Linked DNA regions of Astyanax mexicanus. Each later gene encodes a partner of the first gene's protein in a complex. Links are inferred from orthologs where the notes say so. Each region holds a gene or a part of one and is shown in the gene's direction. Other genes may lie near its edges.

Region 1 (9,982 bases):
CAGTTCATTTTAAAGTACAAAATCAGCTTGGGTCAGGCTAATTCCAGGCTTTCCTTAAAGTAGAAGACTAGTACTCTTCAGATCATGTGTATTTGGTCTGGCCCAAGATTAAAAAGTCCTTCAAAATCACACTAGAACATCAGCTTTACATAAAAAAAATTGTGCATTATGGATCGGTATTCCATGTTGCCAGTTCATTTTAAAGTATAAAATCAGCTTGGGCCAGGCTATTTCCAGGTTTTCCTTAAAGTAGAAGACTAGTACTCTTTAGATCATGTGTATTTGGTCTGGCCCAAGATTAAAAAGTCCTTCAAAATCACACTAGAACATCAGCTTTATATTAAATTTTTTTGTGCATTATGGATCGGTAGGCCATGTTGCCAGTTAATTTTAAAGTATAAAATCAGCTTGGGCCAGGCTAATTCCAGGTTTTCCTTAAAGAAGAAGACTAGTACTCTTCAGATCATGTGTATTTGGTCTGGCCCAAGATTAAAAAGTCCTTCAAAATCACACTAGAACATCAGCTTTATATTCAATTTTTTTGTGCATTATGGATCGGTAGGCCATGTTGCCAGTTCATTTTAAAGTACAAAATCAGCTTGGGCCAGGCTAATTCCAGGCTTTCCTTAAAGTAGAAGACTAGTACTCTTCAGATCATGTGTATTTGGTCTGGCCCAAGATTAAAAAGTCCTTCAAAATCACACTAGAACATCAGCTTTACATAAAAAAAATTGTGCATTATGGATTGGTATGCTATGTTGCCAGTTCATTTTAAAGTATAAAATCAGCTTGGGCCAGGCTAATTCCAGGTTTTTCTTAAAGTAGAAGACTAGTTCTCTTCAGATCATGTGTATTTGTTCTGGCCCAAGATTAAAAAATTCTTCAAATTTGTACTGGAACAGTGGCTTTTTTGTGCAAAATGGCTCATTATACCATGTTGCCAATACATTTTAAAGTATAAAATCAGCTTGGGCCAGGCTAATTCCAGGTTTTCCTTAAAGAAGAAGACTAGTACTCTTCAGATCATGTGTATTTGTTCTGGCCCAAGATGAAAAAGTCCTTCAAAATCACACTAGAACATCAGCTTTATATTAAATTTTTTTGTGCATTATGGATCCTTATTACATGTTGCCAGTTCATTTTAAAGTATAAAATCAGCTTGGGCCAGGCTACTTCCAGGTTTTTCTTAAAGTAGAAGACTGGTACTCTTCAGATCATGTGTATTTGGTCTGGCCCAAGATTAAAAAGTCCTTCAAAATCACACTAGAACATCAGCTTTAAATTAAACTTTTTTTGTGCCTTATGGATCGGTATTCCATGTTGCCAGTTAATTTTAAAGTATAAAATCAGCTTGGGCCAGGCTAATTCCAGGCTTTACCTAAAGTAGAAGACTAGTACTCTTTAGATCATGTCTATTTGGTCTGGCCCAAGATTAAAAAGTCCTTCAAAATCACACTAGAACATCAGCTTTACATAAATACAATTGTGCATTATGGATCGGTATTCCATGTTGCCAGTTCATTTTAAAGTATAAAATCAGCTTGGGCCAGGCTATTTCCAGGTTTTCCTTAAAGTAGAAGACTAGTACTCTTCAGATCATGTGTATTTGTTCTGGCCCAAGATGAAAAAGTCCTTCAAAATCACACTAGAACATCAGCTTTATATTAAATTTCTTTGTGCATTATGGATCCTTATTACATGTTGCCAGTTCATTTTAAAGTATAAAATCAGCTTGGGCCAGGCTAATTCCAGGTTTTCCTTAAAGAAGAAGACTAGTACTCTTTAGATCATGTCTATTTGGTCTGGCCCAAGATTAAAAAGTCCTTCAAAATCACACTAGAACATCAGCTTTACATAAATACAATTGTGCATTATGGATCGGTATTCCATGTTGCCAGTTCATTTTAAAGTATAAAATCAGCTTGGGCCAGGCTATTTCCAGGTTTTCCTTAAAGTAGAAGACTAGTACTCTTCAGATCATGTGTATTTGGTCTGGCCCAAGATTAAAAAGTCCTTCAAAATCACACTAGAACATCAGCTTTATATTCAATTTTTTTGTGCATTATGGATCGGTAGGCCATGTTGCCAGTTCCTTTTAAAGTACAAAATCAGCTTGGGCCAGGCTAATTCCAGGCTTTCCTTAAAGTAGAAGACTAGTACTCTTCAGATCATGTGTATTTGGTCTGGCCCAAGATTAAAAAGTCCTTCAAAATCACACTAGAACATCAGCTTTACATAAAAAAAAATTGTGCATTATGGATTGGTATGCTATGTTGCCAGTTCATTTTAAAGTATAAAATCAGCTTGGGCCAGGCTAATTCCAGGTTTTCCTTAAAGTAGAAGACTAGTTCTCTTTAGATAATGTGTATTTGTTCTGGCCCAAGATTAAAAAGTCCTTCAAAATCACACTAGAACATCAGCTTTAAATTAAACTTTTTTGTGCCTTATGGATCGGTATGCCATGTTGCCAGTTCATTTTAAAGTATAAAATCAGCTCGGGCCAGGCTAATTCCAGGTTTTTCTTAAAGTAGAAGACTAGTTCTCTTCAGATCATGTGTATTTGTTCTGGCCCAAGATTAAAAAGTCCTTCAAAATCACACTAGAACATCAGCTTTACATAAAAACAATTGTGCATTATGGATCGGTATTCCATGTTGCCAGTTCATTTTAAAGTATAAAATCAGCTTGGGCCAGGATATTTCCAGGTTTTCCTTAAAGTAGAAGACTAGTACTCTTTAGATCATGTGTATTTGGTCTGGCCCATGATTAAAAAGTCCTTCAAAATCACACTAGAACATCAGCTTTATATTCAATTTTTTGTGCATTATGGATCGGTAGGCCATGTTGCCAGTTAATTTTAAAGTATAAAATCAGCTCGGGCCAGGTTAATTCCAGGTTTTCCTTAAAGTAGAAGACTAGTACTCTTTAGATCATGTGTATTTGGTCTGGCCCAAGATTAAAAAGTCCTTCAAAATCACACTAGAACATCAGCTTTATATTCAATTATTTTGTGCATTATGGATCGGTAGGCCATGTTGCCAGTTAATTTTAAAGTATAAAATCAGCTTGGGCCAGGCTAATTCCAGGCTTTCCCTAAAGTAGAAGGCTAGTACTCTTTAGATCATGTGTATTTGGTCTGGCCCAATATGAAAAAGTCCTTCAAAATCACACTGGAACATCAGCTTTACATAAAAAAAATTGTGCATTATGGATCGGTATGCTATGTTGCCAGTTCATTTTAAAGTATAAAATCAGCTCGGGCCAGGCTAATTCCAGGTTTTCCTTAAAGTAGAAGACTAGTTCTCTTCAGATCATGTGTATTTGTTCTGGCCCAAGATTAAAAAGTCCTTTAAAATCACACTAGAACATCAGCTTTAAATTAAACTTTTTTGTGCCTTATGGATCGGTATGCCATGTTGCCAGTTAATTTTAAAGTATAAAATCAGCTCGGGCCAGGCTAATTCCAGGTTTTCCTTAAAGTAGAAGACTAGTACTCTTCAGATCATGTGTATTTGGTCTGGCCCAAGATTACAAAGTCCTTCAAAATCACACTGGAACATCAGCTTTACATAAAAAAAATTGTGCATTATGGATTGGTATGCTGTTGCCAGTTCATTTTAAAGTATAAAATCAGCTCGGGCCAGGCTAATTCCAGGTTTTCCTCAAAGTGGGAGAGTAGTTCTCTTCATCTGATGTGTATGTGTTCTGGCCCAAGATGAAAAAGTCTTTCAAAGATTGCCAGTTCATTTTAAAGTATAAAATCAGCTTGGGCCAGGCTAATTCCAGGTTTTTCTTAAAGTAGAAGACTAGTACTCTTCAGATCATGTGTATTTGTTCTGGCCCAACATGAAAAAGTTCTTCAAAATCACACTTGAACATCTGCCTCATATTATTTGAGCGCAATGGCTTTTAAAATATAATTGTATTAAATATATATTTAATTATTTATTGTAATATATAATTATAAATTCAGTAATTAAAATAAATATTTTACAATATACAAAATTATATTTAATAATATATTGTATATTTACATTGTTAATAAACAGATGTACTGCTTTTCTTCATTCTATCTCCTTCAGTGTTGATCTGTGAGGTGTTTAATATAAACAGCGGGTGTTTGTGAACGCTCCCTTTAGTTCACGGTGGTTCAGTGAAGCGGCAGCTGCGAATATCAAACCAACTTCAGCCGGGGAATACGAGGCTGCGAATATCGAGCCAAACGAATCTGGAGCTGCGAATATCAAACCAACTTCAGCCTCGTCTTTTCTGATGTGTGTAGGCTATGTAGTCCATTATTTAAAAATATATATTGGCAATTGTTTCTTATCTAATTATTATTATTTATTGAATGTATTCTAAACCATTGATAACTATTTATCCTGTCAAAATATATAAATCTAAAAAAAAAAAAAATAACCAGAACCAGAATGCATCTAAGCTGTGTTCAAACTTCAAAAGCCTAGATGTCTCGATTTGTAATTGGCCATTAGCTTTGCAGTAGGCATGTTTTCTTTCTACAGAACAAGCTATCTCAACTGCTTTACTCATAGATAACATTAACAGGTCGAGTCAAGAATAAATACCTCAATCTGATTGAACCTCGGGACGGTTGATCTTCACAACAAACCTACACTTCTCATCTCTTCACCGAAGAGTGTTAATCAGCCACTGTTTACTGAAAAGCAGACAGTGAATGATAATTAATTCGGTAAACTTTTCCCTCCTTCTCATTTGCATCCCCTCTTTGATCTTCGCCTCTTGTTCTGTCAACTGAATTTCAAAGTACCTCCATTACAATTAAGAGCTCGCATCAAACACGGCTAATGGAGCGACACTGCATGGAGAGGCCGACTTCAGCCGACCTTCTGTAGCTCGTTGCCTGCTGTACACTTACCCACTAAACATACCTGAAACATTTTTAAAGCCTGACCTGTCGGCAACCCCAAAATTGTATGTGGAACCAACACTGTATTTACATAATATAAGAAAGTGCAGGTGCAGGAGCACTGACTTAAAAAGCCTGACGTTTTATTTAACCCGTTGATTTAATTATTTTTATTAACTTATTGCACAATGATTGCTAATTATATGATATGGAACAATTAAGTGTATATCACGAGTTAAAAGGTAAAATGATGTGTTTAAAATTAAAGATAAATAAAAAATATATTTTTAAAAAGTTTTGAAAAGTTCACACTAAGCCGCAACAATACAACACAGAGGTTAGAACTCGCACTATCCACGCATAATAATATGTGTACACTTCTCTACACTCTTTACAAAAAAAAAGAACGTTAGCAAATATGGTGCATCATTCTTTTATTTAATCAATAGATATCGACATATCTAAAGGCACTGAAGTATAGATCGAAACGTATTTTATTTTTCATATAGACTACTCTACACATTAATAAACTTTTAAATTATACTTAATATTATAATCAAACTCCAAATTATGGATGGGTGGATAAATAAGCAGTTTAGTAAGAGGCGCAAAAAAACTGAAAATTAATATTTAATAATACAAATATTTATGTATTATTTAAAAAAAAAAGTTCACAGCAGTGCGGTAAATTAATGTAATGCGACTAGTTAAAATAAAAAATAAAAATAATCTTCACATGGGATTTAGATAATAAAATACATAAAACGAATAAAGAGAAACTTGGTTATTACTTTTTATTATATAAGTGGTTAATAAACTAGTTAATACTGTAAATAACATTAAATCGAAAATAAAAAAAATACTATAAACATCCCTCTGTGTAACTGGAGGTAAATAATCCGGCTTGATTAGACCGGCTCTCCAATACACATTTCCTTAATCCCAGTTAAAGCAAGGATAACCGCTCACTTAATAGACTACTCTGCTTTGTGTTTGATGTTAGCTGCTTGTGATGATGCCTCACACACACACACACACACACACACACACACACACACACACACACACACACACACACACACACACACACACACACACACAGAGGGAAGGCTCTCTGTCGGTGGGCAGCCCGGGTTCGGTGCCCCAGCAGCGCCGCTCCCTTTGAAATCGCATCCCCCTCCCTCAGCGAGGGGCGTGAACGCAAACATTAGGGTGGGTATAAATGGGGCACCAGGGTCTGATGAAGCCTCAGAACACAGCTCAGCCAGCAGCTTAGCTCCAGGAGCTCCAGCGAACAGGAGAATATAGCGCACCGAGCACCAGCAGCACCTCCACCGCGGACTATCTGCGACCATGTGGCCGGCGGCGCTCTCAGCCCTGACCTTCACCCTGATCACTGCCACGGCGGCGGCGGCCGGGGGGCTCTTCAACTCCAACGCCATCAAGGTGGGTGCACCTGTGGAAAGCTCGGATCAGGCGGTGAGCGAGAGCCCACAGGTGTTCCCCGTGGATGAGGGCAGTCAGAACTTCGCCACCGACACCATGCAGGTGAGGAGGATGGTCTTTTCGGGGGTCCCACACTGAGTTCTTTGAGGAACTTTAGAGGTTCTCCAGTTTTAAATTGTTTGCATGAACCATACGGTTCAAGCTGTAGAATAACACTTAAAAAATGACTCTTTTTAAAGCACCTCAACGAAATATCAGGAAACATTTTCTTTAAAAACTCATTGAGGAGCTTTTATGGGTTCTTTATTTTTTAACTTTACATAAACCTTATCTAGTTCTTTAGGAAAGCTTCAAGGAACCTTTTTCTTCATAAAATCTTTTAATAAGGCTCCTCGAGGAACGTTTAGGGGTTCTTCAATATTAATCTTTAAGGTTTTTAAGAAACCTTCAGGAGAAATATTTTCTCTTTTCAAAGCAACTTTAAAAAATGCATACACATTTTCAAGTTAAAGAACCGCTAATATGTCTTAAAGTAAATTGAACGTTTTCAGTGTTATTTTTTGATACTTATTATTTATGAATGTTTCCCCATATTTTCCAGCTCTTTAAATCTTTCACTGACTAATACCGTCGCTGTTTCTCTCTTTTTGTCCTCTCTGAAACGCAGCCTCTTGTATGTGTGGTGGATGAACAGTGCGCTGAAGACGAGTTCTGTTTCCGATCGCGCGGCGTTTGCCTCCAGTGTAAGAAAAGGAGAAAGCGCTGCATCCGGGATGCTATGTGTTGCCCTGGAAACCACTGCAACAACGGTAAGAGCCTCCTTCACACATATAAGGTAGTTAAAATACTGTGACAGTCTGTATCCACCACATGGTTGTAGGTTCGATACCCTAAACAGCGAAGTCTCCACTGTTGGGCACTAAGGCGAATAGGGTCTTTAAAATCCAGGGTTTAAGAAAACAACATTTTTACAGGAACTACATATGAAGTCAGGACATCTTTTTTTTCCAATAATTCCCAGTCCAATACCTCAACAGTGCATTTTTTTTATCTTTTACTTGCGATTCGGCATGACCTAAACCCTGAACTCTACATTTATTATAAAAAGTTTTGTTTGGGGGGGTGTCAAAATCTATAATGTTAAATATTACAATAAATGTACGGTTCCCATGTCAAAAAAAAAAATATTTTAATACGATTCACTTTACCATATATATTTTACCATGAATTAACCATTCCACCTTAAATTCTGCTTATTTACAATTTCACCTTAACTACGAGGCTTCAGGCTGAAAAGGCATATTTGACGCACTTTCTACTTATTATCCTATACTTTTAAGATGGCACAGAATATTAAAATAAGTTGTGATTTCTGCACAACATATACAGAAATGTATAACATTCATAAAGCATTTAACATTTACTACATCATTTTAGGGTGGAAAGGAAAGTGTGAACAACCTGTTGCTTTATCATTGTATATTGTAAAATGACAAGAATGAATGAATAAAACCATATATTTTTGTTTTCAACAGGAGTGTGTCAACCAAACGACCCTGACATTGCCCTCCAAGCAGGAGTAGAAGAATTTGTGCTCGTTAGCGCCCCCCATGAGGAGAACGCCACACTGGTACTGCAGCCCAAGTCACCGGTTCATAATCTAGCTCAAAACCTGAAAGGTAAGCTATTAACCATGCTTTTGGAAACATATGTTAATTGCAATTATAAACATTCTTATAATTTATGAGTGATTGCTTTTGGTCTAATCTGCTTTTTGGTCTGTTTTTTAATGTTTCAGGTCTTGAGGGCGAGACCTGCCTGAGGTCTTCTGACTGTGCGGAGGGGCTGTGCTGTGCTCGCCATTTTTGGTCAAAGATCTGCAAGCCTGTCCTAAAGGAGGGTCAGGTCTGCACCAAGCACAAGAGGAAAGGCACTCACGGACTGGAGATCTTCCAGCGCTGCGACTGCGATGAAGGCCTGTCCTGCCGGACGCAACGAGGAGACCACAGCAAGTCCTCTAGAAGCCTCCATACCTGCCAGAGACACTGAGAATCCAGTGGGATTTTGTTTGCGTAAAGCTTCTGGAAAGTGGGACCAATCTGAAAGAAAGAGAAAACTCCATTACTGATGGATTTTGATGGATGAAGGGATGAAAGGATGGATGGATTATGATTGGAATACTCTTGTTCTTACTTCTTCCTGTCTACAGTTTGTATGTCAACATTGCAGAGTAGATATACATGTTTCTCTATGGAACTTGGCTTTTGATGGTTGCAGTACATTACTGTATTGTAAATACTAGGGAAGTTGGCACTTAACTCTTTTTTTTGTCAACACAATGATTTTTGAGGATGAGGATTTTACCAAGCTTTTTCCAGTTTATTGTAAATGTACATACAGATTTTCATGATCGTATAGAGTCTGATATATGTCTATTTTTTATTCTAAATAAAGAGTTATGATATTTGATATTTCAAATCCATGTCTAAGCATAAAGAGTCTTTCTTTCAGTTCTGCACTTTTTTGAATGGTTGGGGCAGGTGTTATTTACAATTTGAATTCAAATTTGAATCTTATCTGGAATCTAATATTTTACATATTTCAGGAGTTAACCTCCTGAGACATAGACTTTTTCTTGGTGCGCAATTTATCCTGGACATGTGGGATTAATAGGACCTAAAGAGTATAACAAATTAAGTTTGTCTTTTTTCATCCTTAATGGGGACAGTAGTTTATTTTAACGTTTAAAAATGATCCATCCCATATGGAATGAGAAGGGCCAAATTAGCCCAAAAACTAATGTATAGCTTTCTACAGTAAGTAAATAAACTAGTTTAAAACATAAAATCTGATAAAAATGTGTATACCTTGCCAATGATTCTGTCTGGACTGGCAGGAGAAACTCATGACTGGGATTCCCACCATCTTGTTTTTAATTAATTGAGTGTAATTATTATGTGGTATTTGCAGTGTTTTAATATGAGACCAAAGGGTCAAAGTTTTGAAAAATTAAGTATCATAGTTCAGAGAAGAGGAGGGTATATTTCTTTGTGAATATACTAGTTTATAATGGAGGGGTTTCATTTGGTGTAAGTTTTCAGCATTTTTTTCTTGTTTGAAACCATGTAAGTTGCTTAAATCTAATGATTTTTGTATTTAAAAACTTCTTTCTTACAACTTTATTGACCATCTTTCAGTGCAGGGGGATTTACTGGTTGTACTTTTGAGAAAGTATTTTTTTTTTTGTATGTACAAATAGAGCAAGGCAGGAACACAAAAGCATGAAATCCCGCCACTCAAGACATCCCCTCCTTTTTAGTGCCCTCTCCTCTTTGAGAACTATGTCCTTTTTGCATTTCCTCTGGAGTAACTGGAAACTGGGGGCTTACTTGGAGCTGTCAAAGGAGACAAAGCAGAAGGGTAAGCATTTCAAAGCACAGGATATACATGTTGCAATTGTCCTATCCATGTGCTCCGGCTGGTGCTGGGAGGACGTCCCCCAGCTTTTGTCAATACCATCAACAGCTTAGGGCCCAGAAACATCTGTGCGTGGAATCCCAACTGTCACAATGGCGCAAAGAGAAACTTAAAACTCCCTAGTTTGCCAACTATACAGTAAAGTGGCTAATTCTTTGAGGGCAACAAGGC
Region 2 (10,427 bases), on another chromosome or scaffold:
AAAAGAAAACTGGCAGGTTGCAGAAAGACTTGGTCTTGAATTCCACCCGGGCGATGGCAGGACGACCCTCAGTTCCAGACAGATGTCACGAGTCACGGCACCAATGTGACCTCTCATACTCCGTCCCGCCCCAGGGATGGACACCACATGGTTTGGATGATGGGTATTTTTATTCTGCAACGAGTTCAGCATTCACATAACACATCAGATCAGTTTCTGGTCAGCTTTGCCAGCCCACAGCAGGGATATCTCAGACTGCTCGGTTTTTTTTGTATGTACAGTTTTGACACTTTTCTTGCCCATGGTACATAAAAATAGAAAAAAACAGTGATCGTATAGTAAATATTAATTAAGCAACTAAACATTTATAATGGTATCTATTCACGTAATTATATTATTATTATAATTATTATGAAGTATTATATTATAACGGTATTCTCATAATTAGTATACATTATATTAATCTAACTAAGTTAACTTTATCCTTACAAAATAATGACTAAGACAAAATAAAATAAAAACATTCTTATAAAATTATACTACAGTTGCACAAATCACATCATCCATTTTGTAGATTTTCACAGTAGAAACATTGAAAAAAGAGATACAATACTGCCACCTTTTGGACACCAGATATAACACACCTAGCAAAGCTAGGCTCATGGCTAAAGCACATTTTTTTAATTCCTCAAATATTTAACTTATTAATATAACCAAAGGAATAACACGTATTATATATTTAAACCCACCTGCAACGAGTTCAGCATTCACATAACACATCAGATCAGTTTCTGGTCAGCTTTGCCAGCCTAAACAGAGTTAGCTATTGTTAGCAACAGAGACATGTGGCCTGTTAGTTAAATCAGCTAGCTTAATTAGCTAGCTAATTGGCACACAAAAATGACTTAATCCATGTAACTAACACATGCACATTCATTATATAGTCGGTTAGAGCTGTTAAGTATTAAAATATACTAGCACTGAGTACTTATTTTATTATTTTAGTGATTTTTACTGGAGCTCTGTAGAGAGCCAACTCACCCACAGCAGGGATATCTCAGACTGCTGGGGGTCTCCCAGCATGCACTCATTTTATACTAAAAACTGGCAGCCTTTGACCAGCAGGTGGTGCTGAACTCATTTGCAGTAATTTATATATTGTTATCTATTTATATATACTTTTAACACTGTTACATATGTACAACAGGGCAACAGGGACACAGATAGACATACATGACATACACACAAAAATACATGACATACATACAAGAGACAATATGTAAAAGCATGAAAAAGAAGTACAGGAACAGTGCAACTTACAGGACAAAAAACACAAAAACACAGTTTCCTTGGGAGAGAGAGAAGCCGCTGCGTGTGGACGCGCTAACAGGCTACTTTAGCTCAGCTTGGCTAACAGGCTACTTTAGCTTAATTAACAGGGAACTGCTACTTTGGCTCAGTGCTTCTAACCGGCTACTTTAGCTCAGATAACGCTAACTGTCTACTTTAGCTTAGTTAATGCTAACAGGCTACTTTAGCTTAGCTAATGCTAACCAGCTACTTTAGCTAAGCTAACGCTAACAGGCTACTTTAGCTTAATTAACAGGGAACTGCTACTTTGGCTCAGTGCTTCTAACCGGCTACTTTAGCTCAGATAACGCTAACTGTCTACTTTAGCTTAGTTAATGCTAACAGGCTACTTTAGCTTAGCTAATGCTAACCAGCTACTTTAGCTAAGCTAACGCTAACTGGCTACTTTAGCTCGACTAACAGGCTACTTTATCTCAGCTTTGCTAACAGGCTAAATAAACTCAGCTAACACTAACCGGCTACTTTAGCTCAGCTAAGGCTAACAGGCTATTTTAGCTCGGCTAACAGGCTACTTTAGCTAAGCTAATACTAACGAGGCAATTTAGCCCAGCTAAATTCTAGAACTGATTTGCTATAGCTAAATCACTCAAACAAAATGCCAGAAAGCCAGATTACAAAAGCCAAACAATTACACCAAGGGGTGGGGGTTCCAAGGTTGCTCACTTCCCCACTAGTAAATACACCGTAAGCATTTATATTACATTCGGTGTTCATCTTGTAAGTATGATGGTACTGCATGTTGTGAAGGCATTATTAATGGGGACTCTTTAAAATGCAGAATGTCCGTTTTTTTTTTTTCACAATATACTCTTTCATTGATTGTGTGAGTAAATAATAATAAACTGTGATAATGGGAAGATTTAAATATGCATTAACTACTTAATTTACCTATTGATGCCCTCTGTAACAATAGGTAGACAGTGGAAAGAGCAGGGTCTCTCTTATTACTTTGTAATCTCACTGATTGACTGAGGTAAGATATGATTGTTGTACATTTTGTGTAAATATTTTACCCATATTTTGTGTTTTAAATCACTTGTAAAAGATTCTGTTGTCTCTTCTTTGCATACACTGCACACTTTCCAAGTGTAAAGGTCTCAAATATTCAATGTTTGAAACACTGGAATTAAAGTCTGTTTAAAGTACTCAACTATTTCAATACTGTAATTTCAGATGGTTATAATGTGTATTATTATTATTATTATTATTATTATAAATAAATGGGGGGGAACAAACTAAAAAACAATCATTTGCAACAAAAATATCGGCTTTATATATATCGGCATCAACCATTAAAAAAACAATATCTAAACAATAATTTACAGCATGACAATTCACTGGTAACCTCCCTAATTTATCAAGCACAGTGTATTTTCCAGCAGACCCAATAGAGCTAGATAAACTAACCGATTGTTTAGAAAATAGGGTAGCACCACTTCAATACAGAAAAGAGACACAGAAAAAGCTTGCCCCATGGTACAATGATCAAATGCGTACTTTAAAGCAATTAGTATGAAATTTAGAGTGTAAAAGGCCATAAACCTTTTACACTCTGGAAGTGTTCCACTTTGCTTAAAAGGACAGTATTGTTTAATAGATCTGCTCAGAGTATCTGGCAAGATTGACATTAATAAAAACAATCCTTGAGCTCTCTTTAGTGTTATTTCCAAACTGACTGAAACCAGGCAGGTACTGAAACTCAGATTGCAGCCATTCACACCAGCAAGGCTTTTATGGACTTGTTCAATAATTCAATTTCAAATATTTGAAAAATTAATCAACAGATAAATAGCACATCCAGAACAAAAGCCAGTTAGGTTGGAAGCCTTTAACTCAAACAATCTGCTTCATACCGCTGTCCAAGGCTGTGTTTCCCTGCTGGTACTTCTTGATCTGAGTGCAGCCTTTGATACAAGAGATCATACTATGCTTCTAGAAAGTTAAAGAACATGGTCGGTGTAACTGGAACAGCCATATCATGGTTTAAATTATATTTACGTGATCATTATTAGTTTGTGAAGGTAAATTATATACCTTCCAATTATGATTTAAATCTTCCAGATATAAATTATCAGACTTACATTTATCTCACACCTGGTTCATCAGCTAAAAATCTTGGTGTTGTCATGGATTCAGATCTAGAATTTGATAAACAATACTCTAACCAGAACAGCTTTCTTACAATTCAATGACATTGAAAGGCTAAGAAATGCCTCATTCTTGCACAGACAAATTCCTATATGCCTTCACTAAATCAAGGTTGGACTACTGTAATGCGCAACTGTCAGGATGTTCCAGCAAAACCTTAAATAAACTTCAACTTCAACTGGGAACTGAAATATGCCAGTTGTCAGAATTAAGAGGAGTTTAGCAAGGGTATTTCAGCTCTGGAATGACCTTCCTGAAGATGTTCGGGTCTCAAATACTGTCTTAATTGTTTAGGTTAGCTATTGGTAATTAATGTTTCCTCTTAGATAAAGGCTGCAGATCCAGGATACAGCCTGCCTGATTCACATTTTCTCTGTTCCCCATAAATCCAGTCAAAACTATTTCCAACTTTTTGCCTTTGTCCGAGTTACTGACTGACCACCTGTGACTGGCTGGCTTGAAATTCACCAGAGCAACACAGGTTGCCACTGGAATCCTCTTCCACTCCCCCATGATTAAAAAATCAGCCAGTCCATCCCCTTTATCTTTAGCTTCCTCAGCAAGGCAGATGTAATTTTTGAGGTGTGTTTGGGATAGAAGGGAATCATGCTCTGCATTAAAATATCACAGTTTATGTACACTAATTCAGCTCCCCAGTGCTAGCAGCACTTATGCTGCCCAAGACCATGATGCTACCTCCACCATGCTTGAGGGTAGACAAGGGACAGTTCTCTTGGTAATCCTCTCCATGGTGCTGCCACACATGCTAGACACCGTCTGAGCCAAACATGTTTGTATTGTTCTAATTAAATCACAGGATATGGTTCCATTAATCCATGCTCTTGGACTGCTTGTCTTCAGCAAACTGTTTAAAAGCTTTCTGGTGCTGGAAAACTGCTGTGTGACCTTGGCCACCATGCTGTTTCAGGGTGTTAGCATTTTTTATAGCTTAGATCTTTGTGAAGAGCAACAATTATGTTTCTCACATTCTCATTTAATTTCCATGAAGTGGATTGTTGAATATCCAGTGGCCAGAATGAGAGAATCCCCCCCAAAATCACACCTGGAACTCTGGAACTCTGAAACTCCAACAAGTCACATGACACCAGGGAGATACAGGGGGACAATTGGGCACAATTCTTCACTGTTAGGCGCACTCATTTCTGTTGCAAGCTATTTAGACATTAATGGCTGTGGGGAGTGTTCAGATGTTTTAGGAATACAGTAAATCTTTACAAGCTGTACATGGACTACTATAATTTATATCCACGTTTCATTTCTATAGGGTTCTCCCATGAAAAGATAAAATGAAATATTTGCAGAAATGTGAGGGGTGTTTTCACTTTTGTTGGATACTGTATGCTGCACTTGCACTGGTATTAGTAATAGTTTTGGATGCACCCTGTGTTCCCTTATATGTAAATTCCTCTTACACCAGACAAAACAACAATGTTTTGTTAGTAAATATTTTTTCTGTTTTGCTAGAAATATTTTCTTAATATTTTGGTGTGATTTTTTGAGAAGGGTATAGCTGCAGCCTCGGAGACTGCAGTTTTAGGACCCTGCAGTTTCAGGACCGCAGTTCTAGGACCCTGTTTTCGCGACACTGCCACCTAGCGAAGTGGTCGTGGACACGATGGATTACACTCCGAATGAGAGTTCGGAATGTGAATCAAGTTTTATAGCCTAAATTTAATGTATTAAAACATTTTTGTATCTCTTTTGAGATCGTTGAGATCCAGGTAAAAATAAAAATTATGAAGGACAACACATTATCAAGAAACTCTTTTAGAAAACAAAATGACAACACAAATGGCATGTCACAAGGAATTATTGTTTTAGGCATTTACAGTGTGATCAATTTGCTCACTTCCAATTCTAGGGGCGGGGCAAGAGCGCCAGTGTTCCAGCTGAAATCTAAATGGCCCACTAAAGTGCCCTTGTCCTGTTAATTAATTTGTCTATGTAGAGTAAAAATGCACGTAAAATTGTCAGGATATTTGTAGAGTTGCGAAAAGTTTTACACAAAATTATAAAATCTGCTATCAGAATTGCAGATAATACACATATGGACACAAATAATTAAGCAAAAGCAACTAAGAGACAAAAACACAAAAATAAAAGCAGAGGCTGCCAAAATACAAACAAATAATTGTTCTAATTTAATAACTGCAAAGAATAATAAAGTAACCAAATATATATATATATATATATATATATATATATATATATATATATATATATATATATAGTATATATAGTTACAAGTACAAGTATATATAACTTTTGGCACAAAAATAACTCCATAGATAACTGTGTTTGAAATACTTTCAAGTGTTTGAGCCTGGTGTGACTGATGAAATAATACTTGGAATTTGCATATAGTCTCTTTTATGATATTTACAATACTGTAATAACAATGCTATGGCTTAAATGTTCTTGCTTTACCACCCATGTTGATTTTTTTTAGACTCAGTTAAAGGGAATTTAAGTCACTCGGTTTGATCCTCAGCAGTCTAATCGGGGTATACCCGCTGCTTTACTGCTCAAACTTTCTTATCCAGCTCTGAAGCGGCTCGTCTGGACTGGTGACCGTTCTGTACTCTCCACACCAGCGTGTGAGCCCTCGGCACTGACTCGCAGATGTGTGTGTGTGTACACACGTATACACGCGCACACACACACACACAGGTCGAAGCACCAGACCATTCCGTGAAAAACTAGTCCCGTCGGAATGTGTTTCCCATGCTTTAAAACAAGCGGGCTGAACGCACGGGTCCCGCGCTTTGGCTGAAATTCCACACTGTCGGTTACGGCACAGACGGGCGGCTGAGGTCCGGTGTCTGTGTTTTTAAGATAAACCTCGTATCTGACTCGGGACACTCCGGTACAAACAATAGACAGCGGTCGGGTGATTTCAGGGAGCATTTCCTGCTGGCGGAAGGACACGGCTCGAGAGGCGGCGAGTGGCTGCGCTCCGGCGGCAGGATTTTTCGTGGAGGGGGGAAATCGTAGCGCCGCTGAAGCTCGAGAGAGGAAAGAAAGAATGGAGCGGAGAAAACCCGCGGCCCCGGTGGCTTTATAACAGCACTTCCAGCTGAAGTCTCTTACCCTAAACCCTCGAATCACTTCTGCGCGGGCAGCAGGACACAGCCATGCGAGCCCCGCGCTGAAATCCGGCCGCAGAGAGGAGCAGAGGCGAGAGAACGGGGGAAAGATGGGCGCCGTGCTGCGGAGTCTCTTTTTGTGTAGTTTCTGTTTGCAAATACGGGGTGAGTTTGGACTGTCGTCCTTTTCTCGTTGGGAAGTGTTTGGGTGTTCTGAACTGAGCGGTGTGCTCGTTTCTCTCTCCAGCAGGCAGATAGGTGTTGGTGGTTTAGTTGGTTTACAGTGTTCCAGTAGTGTCCCAATATTTCAGCGAGCTTCACTCCGGCGGGGAGCAGACGGAGCTACTGCACTAGCCTGAGTGCTGCTGCTGCGGGGGAGCGTGTAGCCCAGGCCGAGCTGCAGCCCGTTTTTTTTTTCAGAAACTTGAAGCCACTAGCCCAGGTACCAACAACACGAACCAGACCGTGTTTTACTGCTTTACCACAGAGCAGGGAAGCGTTCCCGTAGGTGATCTGCGCCCGGCTGGAGCGGAGAGTTAGCCGTTCTGCTCGTATTGTTGTAGCTAGTCTGGTTGTTGTGCTGCTAGCGCTGGCTAAAGCAGCTCCACACTTTCAGCAGAGACCCGACTCTGATCGAATAATGTTGACCGAGAAACGACAGTAAACGCGAGTCAGTTAACTTACTCAGTGTGTTTTTGTCCGCAGTGAGAGGGGAGAGTTCACTGTCTGAAGGTTAAATCTGAGCTAGGTAACTAACGTTACAGAATGTTTGCTAACAGCAGAGCTCAGCACTGAAACTCTCAGGGTTCTGCAGTCAGTGATGGATCAGGGATGTCGTGGCTTTCCCGAACTTGTCAGCACCAACCCCACTAAACTTTCACTAACGAGGCCCTAGACCTTATTATTGGGTGTTTTGTTTTTTTAAGGTTTTAAGGCAACATTACTATTAATAATAATAATAATAATAATAATGATAATAATAATAATAATAATAATAATAATTGTGAGATTCATTGGCGTTTTATTCTCCTTAACATGTAATCCTTAATATTCTTATGAAACGTTCAAATACATATTAAACGTATCGTTTAAAAGTTCACGGTGATCCACAGTTGATTATCAAAGATGTCTGACGTTTGTTGTAGTTATTTTTATTAAATGAGTGAAGTTGCAGAGCTGCACTTTCAGATACTTATAGCTACACATCGTCTTTTATACATCTGTTACACAGCCATTCTTTCCTTGACCTGTGCCCTGGAGTGTTGGTAAGGTAAAAAAATAATAATAATAACATTTTAAGATTTTGATTTTGTGGAGTAGTTAAAATAATAAAGGCGCTTGTAATTTGAGAGTTGTATGCTTAAAATTAAGTGTATCACAAGGGTATTAGAATTAGTGGTAAGCAGATTCTGCTTTAAAATGTGTTTGATGCTCATATTTTTCGTACTGTGTGACTGTTTAAAGCTCTTAGGTAAAAATAAAAAATTGGTAGAGAGGGAATGCCACCTTTATGCAAACAAACTGACTTTCAGAACCTGTTAAAATGTTTACAAACTAAGATGGGCTACAAAAATTATATGATCAGAAGCCAAGTATCAACTGTCCAAAAAGTGCAATACTCCCTGTATTTACACTTGGCTAGTAAGTGAAGGGTGTTGGATGGACTTCAATGTGCTGTCTTGGTGATCTGCAAGATTATAAATATTTGGGAAAGGAAATTCACAGGCCTCATGTTAAACAAAAATAACGGCAAGCAGGCCAGTCAATCGGTCAGAGACTGGGAACTTGAGGTTGCCCTCCAAAGTGATCCGCTGGAGAGCAGTGGTCAATGTGTCAAATTGGGGTTTGAGTCAGTGCCAAAACCCTGCAGAGGTAAGAGATACAGATCTGGGGAAGTTCTTAGGTCAGTTTATTTTTGTACAGGAGCCCTGTTAGCAGACACATAATGCAAACGTTTCTATAATGCTTTTAAAACTCTAGATAAGGCAGCAAATTAGCACTTCAGTCACAAATTACATTTTGCCAACTTAGTTTGATCTGAAGTTTCTTATTACTTGTTTACTGAGTTAAAGACAGAAAGGCAGAATATCAGTGCTGTTTGCTTTAGAGCTCCATTTGTTTAGTTTCTGCTGCTTGTAACAGAAGAAGGTAGCTGTGTTCTGATGTGTGGCATTGTCTGCGTGAGCTTAGGTTTACATTGTGTGCCAAGTTCGTACTGCTGACCTCAAATCAAAATCATCAAAATTATGATAAATGAAAGATTGTTTTGGGATGGACAGCATTTGGGAATGTTAATCTACCAGGCATATCAGTCACTGTGCCTCATTCACTTTAGATACTGCTTCTGTATCTCTCAGCTAGTGTAACCTGTTTCCATACGGGGAAGCCTTTGTTTAACAAGTAATTACACATCACATATTAAATTTTGTTTTGTGAAATATCTTTATATATTGGAGGGATTTTTGCTTTGCCAGGCTAATATATTTGTTGATTTCTCCCTCTCACTCTCAGCTGTGCCGCTTCTCCTGTATGCAAACCGGCGTGACCTGCGGTTGGTGGACGCCGCTCATGGGCGTGGGAACGCCACGGTGGTGGTGAGTGGCCTGGAGGATGCAGCTGCCGTGGATTTTGATTACACCCAGGGACTGGTCTACTGGAGTGACGTGAGTGAGGAGGCAATCAAGTGCACCGTCTTAAACGCCTCCGGCCCCAGCGGTATCCAGACCACCGTGGTGTCTGGCCTGGCCTCTCCCGATGGTCTGGCTTGCGACTGGTTGGGAAATAAGCTTTACTGGACGGACTCAGAAACCAACCGAATAGAAGTGTCAGAATTTGATGGATCTTATCGGAAAGTTTTGTTTTGGGAAGGCCTCGATCAGCCAAGAGCAATTGCGTTGGATCCGTGCAGAGGGTAAGTGAGCAAAGTTTTGTCTTCAAAGTACAGCTTTTCTTAAACAATCACATTTTTTACTAGTGATTTATTATTGGTAAATGGACTAATATCAGGACCAGCTCTCTCCTGACTACTTGAGACACAATTGGCAGTACAGTATGCTGAGCATTCAGTGGTTGGAAGCTGTACAAGCTGAGAGAACTGCCTGACAAAGTTTTGTGTGAAAACTGCAGTGTTTCTGCTTTTAATGACAGTAGATACTTTCCTTTGTATACCATGATTTCTAGTTTAACAGTTGAAATTAGCAAAGGATGAACCTACCTGTTATTTCTTCAGAAAGACTTGTGTTTATCCCCCATTCTGCAGGTAAAGAACAGGATGAAACTAGGTGCAGGGATTACATTTCCTTCAATAGCTGACTTTTTCTGTACCTCTATTGAAAGGAGAGACAGGAATATCCTCTTTTGTTGGTGTAGATTGCAATCAGTCACTAACTGTAGGCTAACAAAAGCCATTCACCGAGTTTCCCCATGCCTCTGTCTGTTGCTGCTTCTGACGCATGCTCTGAAAATATCTCTGGCATGTTCTTAGACTTGCACCAAATGGCATTTAGCCTACCTTTTTCAGCTGTGTGAGGCTGCATCCACGTTTCTTGTTTAAATAAGATGTCATGTCTGCCAAAAAATCTGTTGTTTGCTCAGACACCAATATTTGTAGATTTTTTTTTTAAATAAATGTTCAGAGACTTTCCTTGGTGCAGTTTTTTCTCAACCAGAAATTAAAATAATTTCAATTGTCTTTAATTTAATTCACTTAATTTTCATTCAGTGTTTGTAAAAGAACCATGCTAGTCCAGGTCTAGCAAATGTTGCTTGCACTTTCTGTAGTTTTAAGTTTTTCTGCATGTA
Region 3 (10,020 bases), on another chromosome or scaffold:
GGTGGAACAGCTTAATTTAATGTGGTGGAATTTAAGGTGGAATAAATTTAGGCTTAGTTGTTTTCTGTTGTGCTTAAAACTGCAGCACTCTTTAAGGTGGAATAGCTTTAATTTTAGAGGGAATTAATACAGAGCATACATTTTTATCTTGACTCCTACTACTACTTGAAAGTACTAGGTAGTTTTAAGGTGGAACAGTACAATTGTAGGTACAAAGTAGAATAGAAAGAGAAGATATAAGTGAGATGTAGAATAAGGGCCGAGTCTAAGCCTGGTCCTGTCTGAACCCGTGCCGAGCTGTTAAGTAAACTGGAGAGTGCGGGAATGCGACTTTAAACCAAGCTATGGCTTTAAAGTGTGTTAAGATGCGTGGATATGGTATAATGCAGTATAATAACTGAAGTGTATCTTCTTCAGAAGTGTTTAAGAGCCGAGCGCAGCGAGCGCAGAACAAAGGCTGGAGATACTGTCGCTGCAGTCAGCCATGAAGAATGTACCTGAGGAACAAGTTCAGACCAGAGCAGCATGTGATTTCCAGCACAGCCTCAAACAACACACGCCTCACAGTGTGTGTGTGTGTGTGTGTGTGCACGCGCACACTCTGAAAACTGTTACACCTCATTTTTATGTGTTCATAAGTGAATCATCTGTACACAGTGAATCGTTATCATTATAAAAACCACTTCATTATAAACACCCACCTCGTGCTTTATCACAGCGGACACTTTATTGGAAACACCTGCTTTGTTCCTTGATTCACTGGTCACTTTATTGGAAACATACCTACATTGTGCTTTATCACAGTGGCCATTTTATTAGAAACACCTACGTTGTGCTTTAAACTACTGGCCACTTTACTGGAAACACCTACCTTGTGCTTTATCACACTAGCCACTTTATTGGAAACGCCTACCTTGTGCTTTTTCACAGTGGCCACTTTATTGGAAACACCTGCTTTGTGCTTTAAATCACTTAATTCAAAATACATCTAACTGCATTACTGGTGAATTTATTGGAAACACCTACCTTGTGCTTCATCAGAGTGGCCACTTTATTGGAAACACCTACCTTGTGATTAATCACTCTGGCCACTTTATTGGAAACACCTGCCTTGTGCTTTATCAGAGTGGCCACTTTATTGGAAACACTTGCTTTGTGCACTAAATCATTGGCCACTTTACTGGAAACACCTACATTGTGCTTTATCACAGTGGCCACTTTATTAGAAAGACCCAACTTATGCTTTAGGTGACTGGCCAGTTTATTGAAAACAAATCTTGTGCTTTATCACACTGGTCACTTTATTACAAATGCCCGCTTTCCTGCTTCCGCTGACTGGCCACTTTATTGGAAAACCTTACTTTTGTTCTTCTTCACAGGCCATTTTATTGGAAACACTGAGCTTGTGCTTTATCACAGTGGCCACTTCATTGGAAACACCTGTTTTGTGCATTAAATAATTGGCCACATTAATGGAAACACCTACCTTGTGCTTCTTCACAGTGGCCACTTTACAGGAAACGCCTGCTTTTTGCTTTAATCATTTGCCACTTTATTGAAAATACATCTAATTTACTCGTCAATTTATTGGAGACACCTACCTACCTACCACTTTATTGGAAACACCTGCTTTGTGCTTCAAACCACTGGCCACTTTACTGGAAACACCTACCTTGTGCTTCATTACAGTTGCCACATTATTGGAAACCCCCCTACTTTTGTACTTTCACTCACTGGCCAATTTATTGGAAACACCTAGACCTTGTGCTTCAATCATTGGCCACTTTATTCACAATACATATAACTTTAAATTACTGGTCAATTTGTTGGAAACAGCAAGCGTGTGCCTTATCAGAGTGGTCACTTTATTAGAAACGGCTGATTTTCTGCTTCCACTCACTGGTCACTTTATTGGAAACATCTATTTTTATGCTTCTTCACTGGCCTATTTATTGGAAACACATTTTTTTGTTCTTCCTCTCACTGGCCAATTTACTGGAAATACCTACCATGTGCTTTATCACAGTGGCCACTTTATTTGAGAACACCCAACTTATGCTTCCACCCAATGGCCACTTTATTGGAAACACCCTAACCCTAACACTTATCTTTTGCTTTATCAAAGTGGCCACATTATTGGAAACACATACTTTTGCGTTATTCACAGGCCACTTTATTGAAAACACCTACACCTTGTGCTTCTTTCCAGTGGCCACTTTATTGGAAACACCTACCTTGTACTTCTACTCACTGGCCACTTTATCGGAAACACCTACACCGTGTACGTTAACCATTGGACACTTCATTCAAAATACATACAAAATACAGACAATTTACTGGCCACTTTATTGGAAACTTCTACTTTTGCGCTTCCTCTCTGGCCAAATATAACTTTTCAGAATTTTTTTTTGGCCACATTATTGGAAATCCCTACCATGTGCTTTAAGCCAATTGCCATTTTATTAGAAACACAGACATTGATGTTCTTCCACTGAATGCTTTACTGTACTATACAGAACTTCTTTTGGTACTATCTAGAACCGTCCTTGCCTAGAACTCTTTGCTAGACCGTCTCCGGTCACACAAAGTGCCACAGAGCTCAGGAATGCAGTGGGTTGTTTTCTAAACAGCGCTCGAGCGTCAGGACCTCTCTGCTGGTCAGAGCAGCGGGTGTTCAGGGGTCAAGGGGTCGGCTGTGGTGAGGGTGAGGTATTCTGCGGTGCCCTCTCGGCAGGGTGCGTCCCACAGACGGGCAGTGCCCTCACGCTCACGCCGGGTCTTCCAGATTCACCCCGAGGCCTTAAAGCGGAGCTGGGCAGCAGTGTGTTATTTCTGCTCAGCGATCCGGCAGCAGGTCTGGGTTCTGGGTGAGCTGGTTTTAATCTCGGTGGTCAGTGAGATCAGTGTGGAGCTGGAGATGCGGGTGCAGGCCGGTTATTTGCAGGGCGGGTGGTGGAGCTGCCCTGTCATTCCTCTGAGCTTCAGTAATGGGCATAACGGGCCCACCTAGGAGACTGCAGTACCCGCTGCTGCCAGCAGAGGAAGACACACCGCACCAGGGCTGGGGAGGAGATTCGGATATTTGGGTCAAAGGTGTAGGAGTGGGTTTGATATTGGGGGAAACATTTGATAAATTGGATTAAATCCCACCCTATGGTGACATTAAATTACAGTTAACCACAAAAAAAAGAAATGAATTTTTTTTCTGTACTTCTGTTTATTAGTAGTTAAATCCAACTAAAGCTCACTTTACAACCTAAACACGTTACTCCACATTACATTTACTGTTGCTAGAAAAAAAATTATGCGTGCAACAACTGAATGATATACATATATGATAAAAAAAAAAACTGTTAGGTTATCACCTAATATTTAAAATTGTATAACAACAGATTTGGTTATTATTATTATTATTATTATTATTATTATTATTATTATTATTATTATTATTATTATTATTATTATTATTATTATGTATTGGCATGCCAATTCTATTGTATACTTACATTTTCTCACATCTTTGGGTCCTGTGCTTTTAATTTTGTCTACTGGAAGCACTTCTTGCAATGGTGACCTTTTATTATAATAATCTAACTTTATATATATATCTCCATTTTTTACGATTTTTAGTTTAATACATAATTTGAACACACAAACTTTCCTTTACACTGTGTCAAAATTTCATGATGAATTGCCAAATAGAAATTCTCTAAAATGACCTGAAATTAATTACTTTTACATTGACTTCCTTTGAAAATTAAGTTGATGTTTTGGACATACTTGTTTTTCATTGGACAGCGACGATATAAACGCTACATAACCCAAACCCTCCCAGTCTGTTAGCAGAACAAGACATTATGCATAACCTGTTTTTATTGCATTATATTGTTATTTATGGTTGTGGTTCATTGCTCTCATCACTGACCTCTCATATAAAGCTATAAATTTGTGCTAAATTTAGCACCACCGCCATGAAAAGCACCCTCTCTCAGGAGCACGCACCCACGACTTCTTGGCTTTAACTTTACTTAGAAAATGGAAATACCCAAGATACTGTTCTAAGCTATGCTGACTCAAAAGAAATCAAAAATACACATAATTTTTAAGTGGTATCTTATTTACTATGTACATATACTTTGCATCAGACCTACTACAATGCTGCGTAACCTATGTTGTAGCCTATGTCGTAGCTTAATGAACACCTACAGGTCGCGCTATGAGCTATGATTGGTCCCCAGGGCCTCGCGTTCCTGCCTCTCGCTGGCTAGCATAGGATACAGCGTTGGTTCGGCGCAAAATTATAAAAACTGCCTTTAGCTTGTGCTAAACGCTGAAACACAAACAAGCTAGTTTATGATTAACTGCAATAAAAACACTTAATCTGAAACTCATTATTTATAAGGTCTTACATCTCCCTTATCTGCTTATTAAAACTTGCCACGGACAGTAGTTAAAGATGCCTCCCTCAAACGAAGTCTTCTGGCTAATCTTGCTGTGTACTGTCTAAGGTTCTCTACTAGCAGACCAAATGGAAACTTTTTTTTCTTCAACTAGAAGATCAAGTGGGTAAAGCTCAGTTGGGGGGTTGACAGGTGAGGGGTTGAGCCAGGGTTTATGGTTCTATGCAGGTTTCATTATTGCGACATCGCAATAAATTTTAAACTGATTCGCAGAAAACGATTGCTGATGAATGGATGATTTTTTTTTTTTTTTTTTTTTGTTTCGAAACCTTAATGGAAATACAAAAGCATGCAAACATTTAAATTTGTGTAACATTTCTGCTTTATGCATGGTTGCCATGATTGGTGGTGCATTGGTGGTGCATGATTTAAGGAGGCAAAACCCAACTTTCTTCCCAAATTTCCAAGCCTTCCCAAATGTATTTTCCTGTCACGTGATCAGCAATACTACCCACCCTCTCTTCTTCCCTCTCTCTCTCTCTCTCTCTCTCTCTCTCTCTCTCTCTTTCTCTCTCTCTCACCCTCCCTCTCTCACCCACTTACTCACCTTCTTTAACTCAGCCCAGGGATCCTCTCGCGCTCCACTCAGTCCCCTGTACTCAACAGCAGCAGCAACAGCAGCAGCGCTCAGTGCAAAACCAGAAGAAGTAGAAGCTCGTGCACCTAAACGGCGCATCTTTGAGACGAAGATCAAAGCAGAGAAGACGAAGAGCAAGAAAAGAAAGGAGGAGAGAAAGAATGGAGGCAGGAAAGATGGACAGTTTGGGAGTTTTATCGCTCATCGTCCTAGCTGTGCGGGCGGCTTTCGGCCAGTTCCACTCCGGTGAGTAGCAAACCCAGTACACGAGTTGTGACTTTGTAGTTACTTTGTGGTGGTTTGCGTGGTGTTCTGATGGGGTTTACAGGGAGTTAATGGTGAGAAATACGCTTGAACGAGTGTTTAGAGTGGTTTAAAGCTGTTTGTGCAACTTTTGCATTGTTTAGGAAGAAGTTTGAGGCTGAAAGTGCTCTTTCAGTTGTGTTTGTCAGTCTAACTCTCCGTTCCACCTTAAATAGCGCAACGGTTGCGGGCGCCTCAATGCAACCGCTGCGCTATTTAAGGTGGAACGAAGAGTTAGGAAACGAAGCTGATTTAAGTGTTTTAGAAGCAAGTGTGTGATGCTGTGCGCGTGCAAACTTATTGATAAGGCCTTAATTGAGTTAATTGTGCTATAACTTGTCTTTTATGTCAGTTTGAACTTGAGAAAAAAAACATGTATACTAATATTTTTGGTGTTTTATGTCTTTGTATATATACACACACACACACACATATATATATATATATATATATATATATATATATATATATATATATATATATATATATATATATATATATATATATATGGAGCTCTACTGCTTGGACAATAAAACCATTGATAATTATGGCTTTATTTTAGCACACTACATATATAATAATAAAACATTCAATTAAACATTGTGTTCATCAGTTAATACATCATAAATAAAATATTTGCTTATTTAAATGAACAGATGAGTGGTGAAACATATTTTAAAACATATTTCATATGAATCAGTTATTAATGAGCTAATAACGTCTATAATGCAAGAAATGAGCAGGACATAAAGTTAATACAGCATCGACACTTTGTGTCTTGTATTATAACTTAGCAAAACTAGACAAATGTACTGTAAAAAAAACTGTAAATCGTATAATTTACTATAATTCATTGGTAATTGATGAGCTAATAAGGTGGATAAAGGTGGAAAACATGGTGAAACTGGTGTAAATGTCTACAGTGGACAATTTAAGCTAATTTATTGATTAGATTTTGTATTTTAAGTTATTAAAAGTGGACAAATACAGATTTCTCAGCTTTAAAACTAACCATTGAAGCTTATTAATTGATTATTAATAACGTGACATTGTTATTAAGACTAGAACATTATAGAACAAGGTGATAATTCAGCAGCAAGACATTAGATTTTGAAATGTAAATAAATGAAAGTGGACAAATGCAACCTTTTCAGCTTTGAAACAAACAATTTTAGCTTATTAATATGTTATAAATAAGTGAAGAATAAGAGCTTAATTCAGCAGCAAGACTGTAAATGAGCAAACAGTGTTTTTAAGAACAAAAACACTGTATATTTTTAAATGTAAGTATGCAAAAGTGGACGAATCCAGCTTTTTTTACCTGTAAATCTGACAATTTAGCCTAATTATTTTTTTTTAAATAAGCGAATAAGGTGATACAAGTGTGTTAGAGGTGAGAAACAGTAAAACAGGAGGACATGTCTGTATTGAACTGAAAGAATAAGTGTTTATCTATTGTACGCCAAATTTAATCTTGAATTTCTAGCATAAATTATTAATTAATTTAATTGTGATCAATTATGTTTATTATAGCAGAAAAAACTTTAATGATCACAAGATATTGAATAAACAGAGCAGCAGACTGTGAGATAATGCAGTTTATGCTTAAATCTAATGTAACATACGCCAAATAAAAACTTTTCTTTTTTTTGAGATTTTTTTTATTATAATCCTGCTGTTATTAAATTAATATTGAACTAATAGGGTAAATCAGCTTTAATTCTAGGGTAGTATACTTCTAAACACAATTATATATGAAAAAACAGTGCACACTTCAGGTTGTATCTACTGTTATACACTTTATATAGCCTATTAAAGGATTATTTCATATAATTATCACAGAAAATCCTCTGAAATGTGCAGATTGTTGAGTAAACAGAGCTGTAGAGTGCGGGTCACTTTTACACAGTAGCCAAAAATGTGTAATTACTGCGTTTCCAGCTCTAATCTGCTAATTTCCCTTCATTAATGGATTAAGAAGTGAGTGGATGAGCTGGTTCAGGTGTGTTACAGCAGGTCATACAATAAAATGTGCAGTGTGTGAAAGTGTGTAGGAGTGTGTGAGAGCGTCTTTGCACATTTCACTGTTTTTTCAGCTCTTATACACCATCATTTAACCCTATTTTTTGACTGTTAATGAGCTTTTAAGGTGGAACAGGTGTATTAAAGGTGGAATCAATGAATGAGATTAAGTTTCTTTAAAACAAAAAGAATAGGATATTTAATAGATGCATTACGTTTTTATTGTGTTTATCACTTAGATTCATATTTAGCTTTAAATAAACAGCATAAATAATAAATATCTTAATATTTAATCTGATGGACAGATTAATAATGTAACTATTATAAGAATAAGTTCATTATATCAGGAAAAAACTCAGTATACTCTCAGTAGAAATGTGAAATTACTGCTTTTCCATCTTTAATTCTCCTCATTGACCTTCGTTATCCGATTAACTGTTATACACCTTATATAAGCTATTAACTTAATTAATATCTAATATATTTATCACAGCAAATCATCTGAAATGCGCAGATTGTGTAATAAACAGAGCTGTAGAGTGCGGGTCAGTTTTACACAGTAGCCAAAAATGTGTAATTACTGCGTTTACAGCTTTAATCTGCTAATTTCCCTTCATTAATGGATTAACTGTGAGTGGATGAGCTGGTTCAGGTGCGTTACAGCAGGTGCAACACTCAATAATATGTGTAAGTGTGTGTGAGTGTGCATGCTTTTATACACACCATTATTTAACCTTATTAACCTTTTTAAATCAGTTAATTATCAAATTATTAAATAAAATAAGAAATTAAATATAGTAACTCTTGTGTTTGTCTCTTATATACCAAATTTAAGCTTGAATGAACAGCATAAATGCTATTTTTAGCATAAAAGACACTAAATTAATTTGGTAAATGCTGATTAATTTAGTTTATTCGGCTAATTTACCTTCATTAATGGATTAAACCTGAGTTTATGAGCTAGTATAGTGTAGTATAGTGTCCAGTAGGCGTCTCACACACTCGGCCTGCTCTCTACGTGTCTTCAAAAATGTGTACACATCCGATAAGGGACAAGACAACACCCATACGCACTGTATATCATCAGCTCATTATACATTTATACATATTCTCAGTGTTTAAATCACATGTCTGCTAAATATCCTAAATGTAAATGATATAGAGTTCATTATATCAGAAAAAACACTAAAAAAGTGCAATTCTGCACCAGTTATACACTCAGTAAAAATTTAGAATTATTACTTTTACATCTTTAATTCTGATAATTAACCTTCATTATCAGATTAACTGTTCTACACCTTATATTTTTTTATTAAATGATTAAATATATTTAATTTAATTATCACAGCAAATCTGATAAATATTCTAAATGTAAATGTAAGAAAAGTAGTTTAACAGTTCTTATAGTGCTGTATTTTCATTTACAGCTCAGTATTGAGCTAATCTGCTCAACATTTATTTGATTAATCGATTAGTCGTGATTATTTTTGTCATGTCCTCTATTTGAGCTTCATATTGGTCAGACTCCTGATCCAATGCATGACTAACTGCACTCTGACAGATAAACTTTTACAGCCTGAGAACAATTTTCCAGGATATTTTTTTAATGTTTGAGATAAATATATTTTAATTTAAACATTACAAAAAAAATTATAGGAGATTTTTTTTACTTAAATGTGTCTTCAATGTAAATATCAACAGAAATTATTACTATACTACTTGTTTAATTATTTACTCTTAAATTTCATTCTAAAATGAAAATGTTGTACTGTGTTGTGAGTGTCTGTGGCAACCTTTATAGGTATTGGGCTAATATAAGCTTCTGAATGGGTTGGGTGGGTTTTAGACAGACTTTGGGCTGGGTATTTTTACTGGATCTGGCAACCCTGCTCTCAGTGAATGTCTATGGTGGAGCTGCAGCTTGTGATAAAGCCACTTCTCTCTTTTATCTCTATCAGTCCAGATACAACAGAAGTTGTCTTGTCCCGTATCTGATGTGTTTACACATGTTTTGGAGACGTAGAGAGAGATAGAGCCCACTGCTGGACAGTAGATGCAGTTACTCCAGCAAAGGTAGCAGGGTAAACTCTTTTATAGGTTGGGTCCGGGAGCGGCTGGGAAAGCCGGGTTTAATAAGCTGGACTCCTCACGCTGTAATTTCAGTTCTCCTTTCAACTCTGGAAAAGCAAATCCCAGAGCTTCCCTTTTAATTCCTCACTGCTTTAATTACAGCCCTCCATTCAAATGAGAGGTTATGCCATCTGGGCAGCAGGAGCTCTGCCATCTGTACCTTCACATTACACATGCAGTTAAACAGCTCCCGGCACGGGAGAACCGGCGCTTAGGGCTTAGAATACATACTGGATCTGTTTATACTGAAGCTGTACGGAAATATCGGTACGCGTATCGAAGTATCGCGATATTTCACTTTACAGTATTGTATCGATTGGGAGGAAAAAGATGAGTTTAAATCCCCTTTTCAGTGGCTTTTGCTGGTTCTGGAGTGTAGGTGTTTCCAATAAAGTGGCCAGTGAAAAAGCACAAAAGTTGGTGTTTCCAATAAAGTGGCCGATAGTGTGTGGAAGCTCAAGGTTTAGTAGGTGTTTCCAATAAAGTGTCCACAGTAAGGAAAAGCACAAGGTTTAGTAGGTGTTTCCA

The links.
Region 2: the proteins of dkk1b (region 1) and lrp6 are in contact, whole or in part, in a crystal structure (PDB 3S8V), measured with the Homo sapiens proteins. The link is inferred for Astyanax mexicanus from reciprocal best matches to the Homo sapiens genes DKK1 and LRP6. Residues at the interface, in NP_036374.1 of Homo sapiens: Glu185, His204, Phe205, Trp206, Ile209, Gln218, Val219, Thr221, Arg224, Arg225, Ser228, Gly230, Leu231, Glu232, Ile233, Phe234, Arg236, Ser258, Leu260; in NP_001401174.1 of Homo sapiens: Arg639, Glu663, Ser665, Ile681, Tyr706, Glu708, Thr724, Arg751, Trp767, Gly768, Gly769, Pro771, Val790, Gly791, Arg792, Asp811, Thr812, Asn813, Leu814, Pro833, His834, Phe836, Trp850, Ser851, Tyr875, Met877, Arg1184.
Region 3: the proteins of dkk1b (region 1) and kremen1 are in contact, whole or in part, in a crystal structure (PDB 5FWW), measured with the Homo sapiens proteins. The link is inferred for Astyanax mexicanus from reciprocal best matches to the Homo sapiens genes DKK1 and KREMEN1. Residues at the interface, in NP_036374.1 of Homo sapiens: Cys189, Leu190, Arg191, Ser192, Ser193, Cys201, Arg203, Trp206, Ser207, Lys208, Lys222, His223, Arg224, Arg225, Lys226, Gly227, His229, Gly230, Leu231, His261; in XP_011528731.1 of Homo sapiens: Pro67, Asn88, Asp90, Asp92, Ser94, Trp96, Gly105, Val106, Tyr107, Trp108, Tyr110, Asp127, His128, Gly129, Pro132, Thr140, Asn142, Glu164, Ser165, Tyr167, Ala168, Phe170, Asn189, Val191, Phe193, His196, Asp203, Gly204.

The regions. Positions count from the first base shown.
Region 1 is NC_064422.1:6,277,083-6,287,064, reverse strand, and holds dkk1b (dickkopf-related protein 1b), read left to right. Parts: upstream 1-6,120; 5' UTR 6,121-6,241; coding exon 6,242-6,436; intron 6,437-7,001; coding exon 7,002-7,143; intron 7,144-7,869; coding exon 7,870-8,013; intron 8,014-8,132; coding exon 8,133-8,383; 3' UTR 8,384-8,812; downstream 8,813-9,982. UniProt on the Homo sapiens protein: Antagonizes canonical Wnt signaling by inhibiting LRP5/6 interaction with Wnt and by forming a ternary complex with the transmembrane protein KREMEN that promotes internalization of LRP5/6.
Region 2 is NC_064409.1:30,625,759-30,636,185, forward strand, and holds the start of lrp6 (low-density lipoprotein receptor-related protein 6), read left to right. Parts: upstream 1-6,206; 5' UTR 6,207-6,736; coding exon 6,737-6,791; intron 6,792-9,137; coding exon 9,138-9,537; intron 9,538-10,427. UniProt on the Homo sapiens protein: Component of the Wnt-Fzd-LRP5-LRP6 complex that triggers beta-catenin signaling through inducing aggregation of receptor-ligand complexes into ribosome-sized signalosomes.
Region 3 is NC_064429.1:35,668,406-35,678,425, forward strand, and holds the start of kremen1 (kremen protein 1), read left to right. Parts: upstream 1-5,025; 5' UTR 5,026-5,198; coding exon 5,199-5,283; intron 5,284-10,020. UniProt on the Homo sapiens protein: Receptor for Dickkopf proteins. Cooperates with DKK1/2 to inhibit Wnt/beta-catenin signaling by promoting the endocytosis of Wnt receptors LRP5 and LRP6.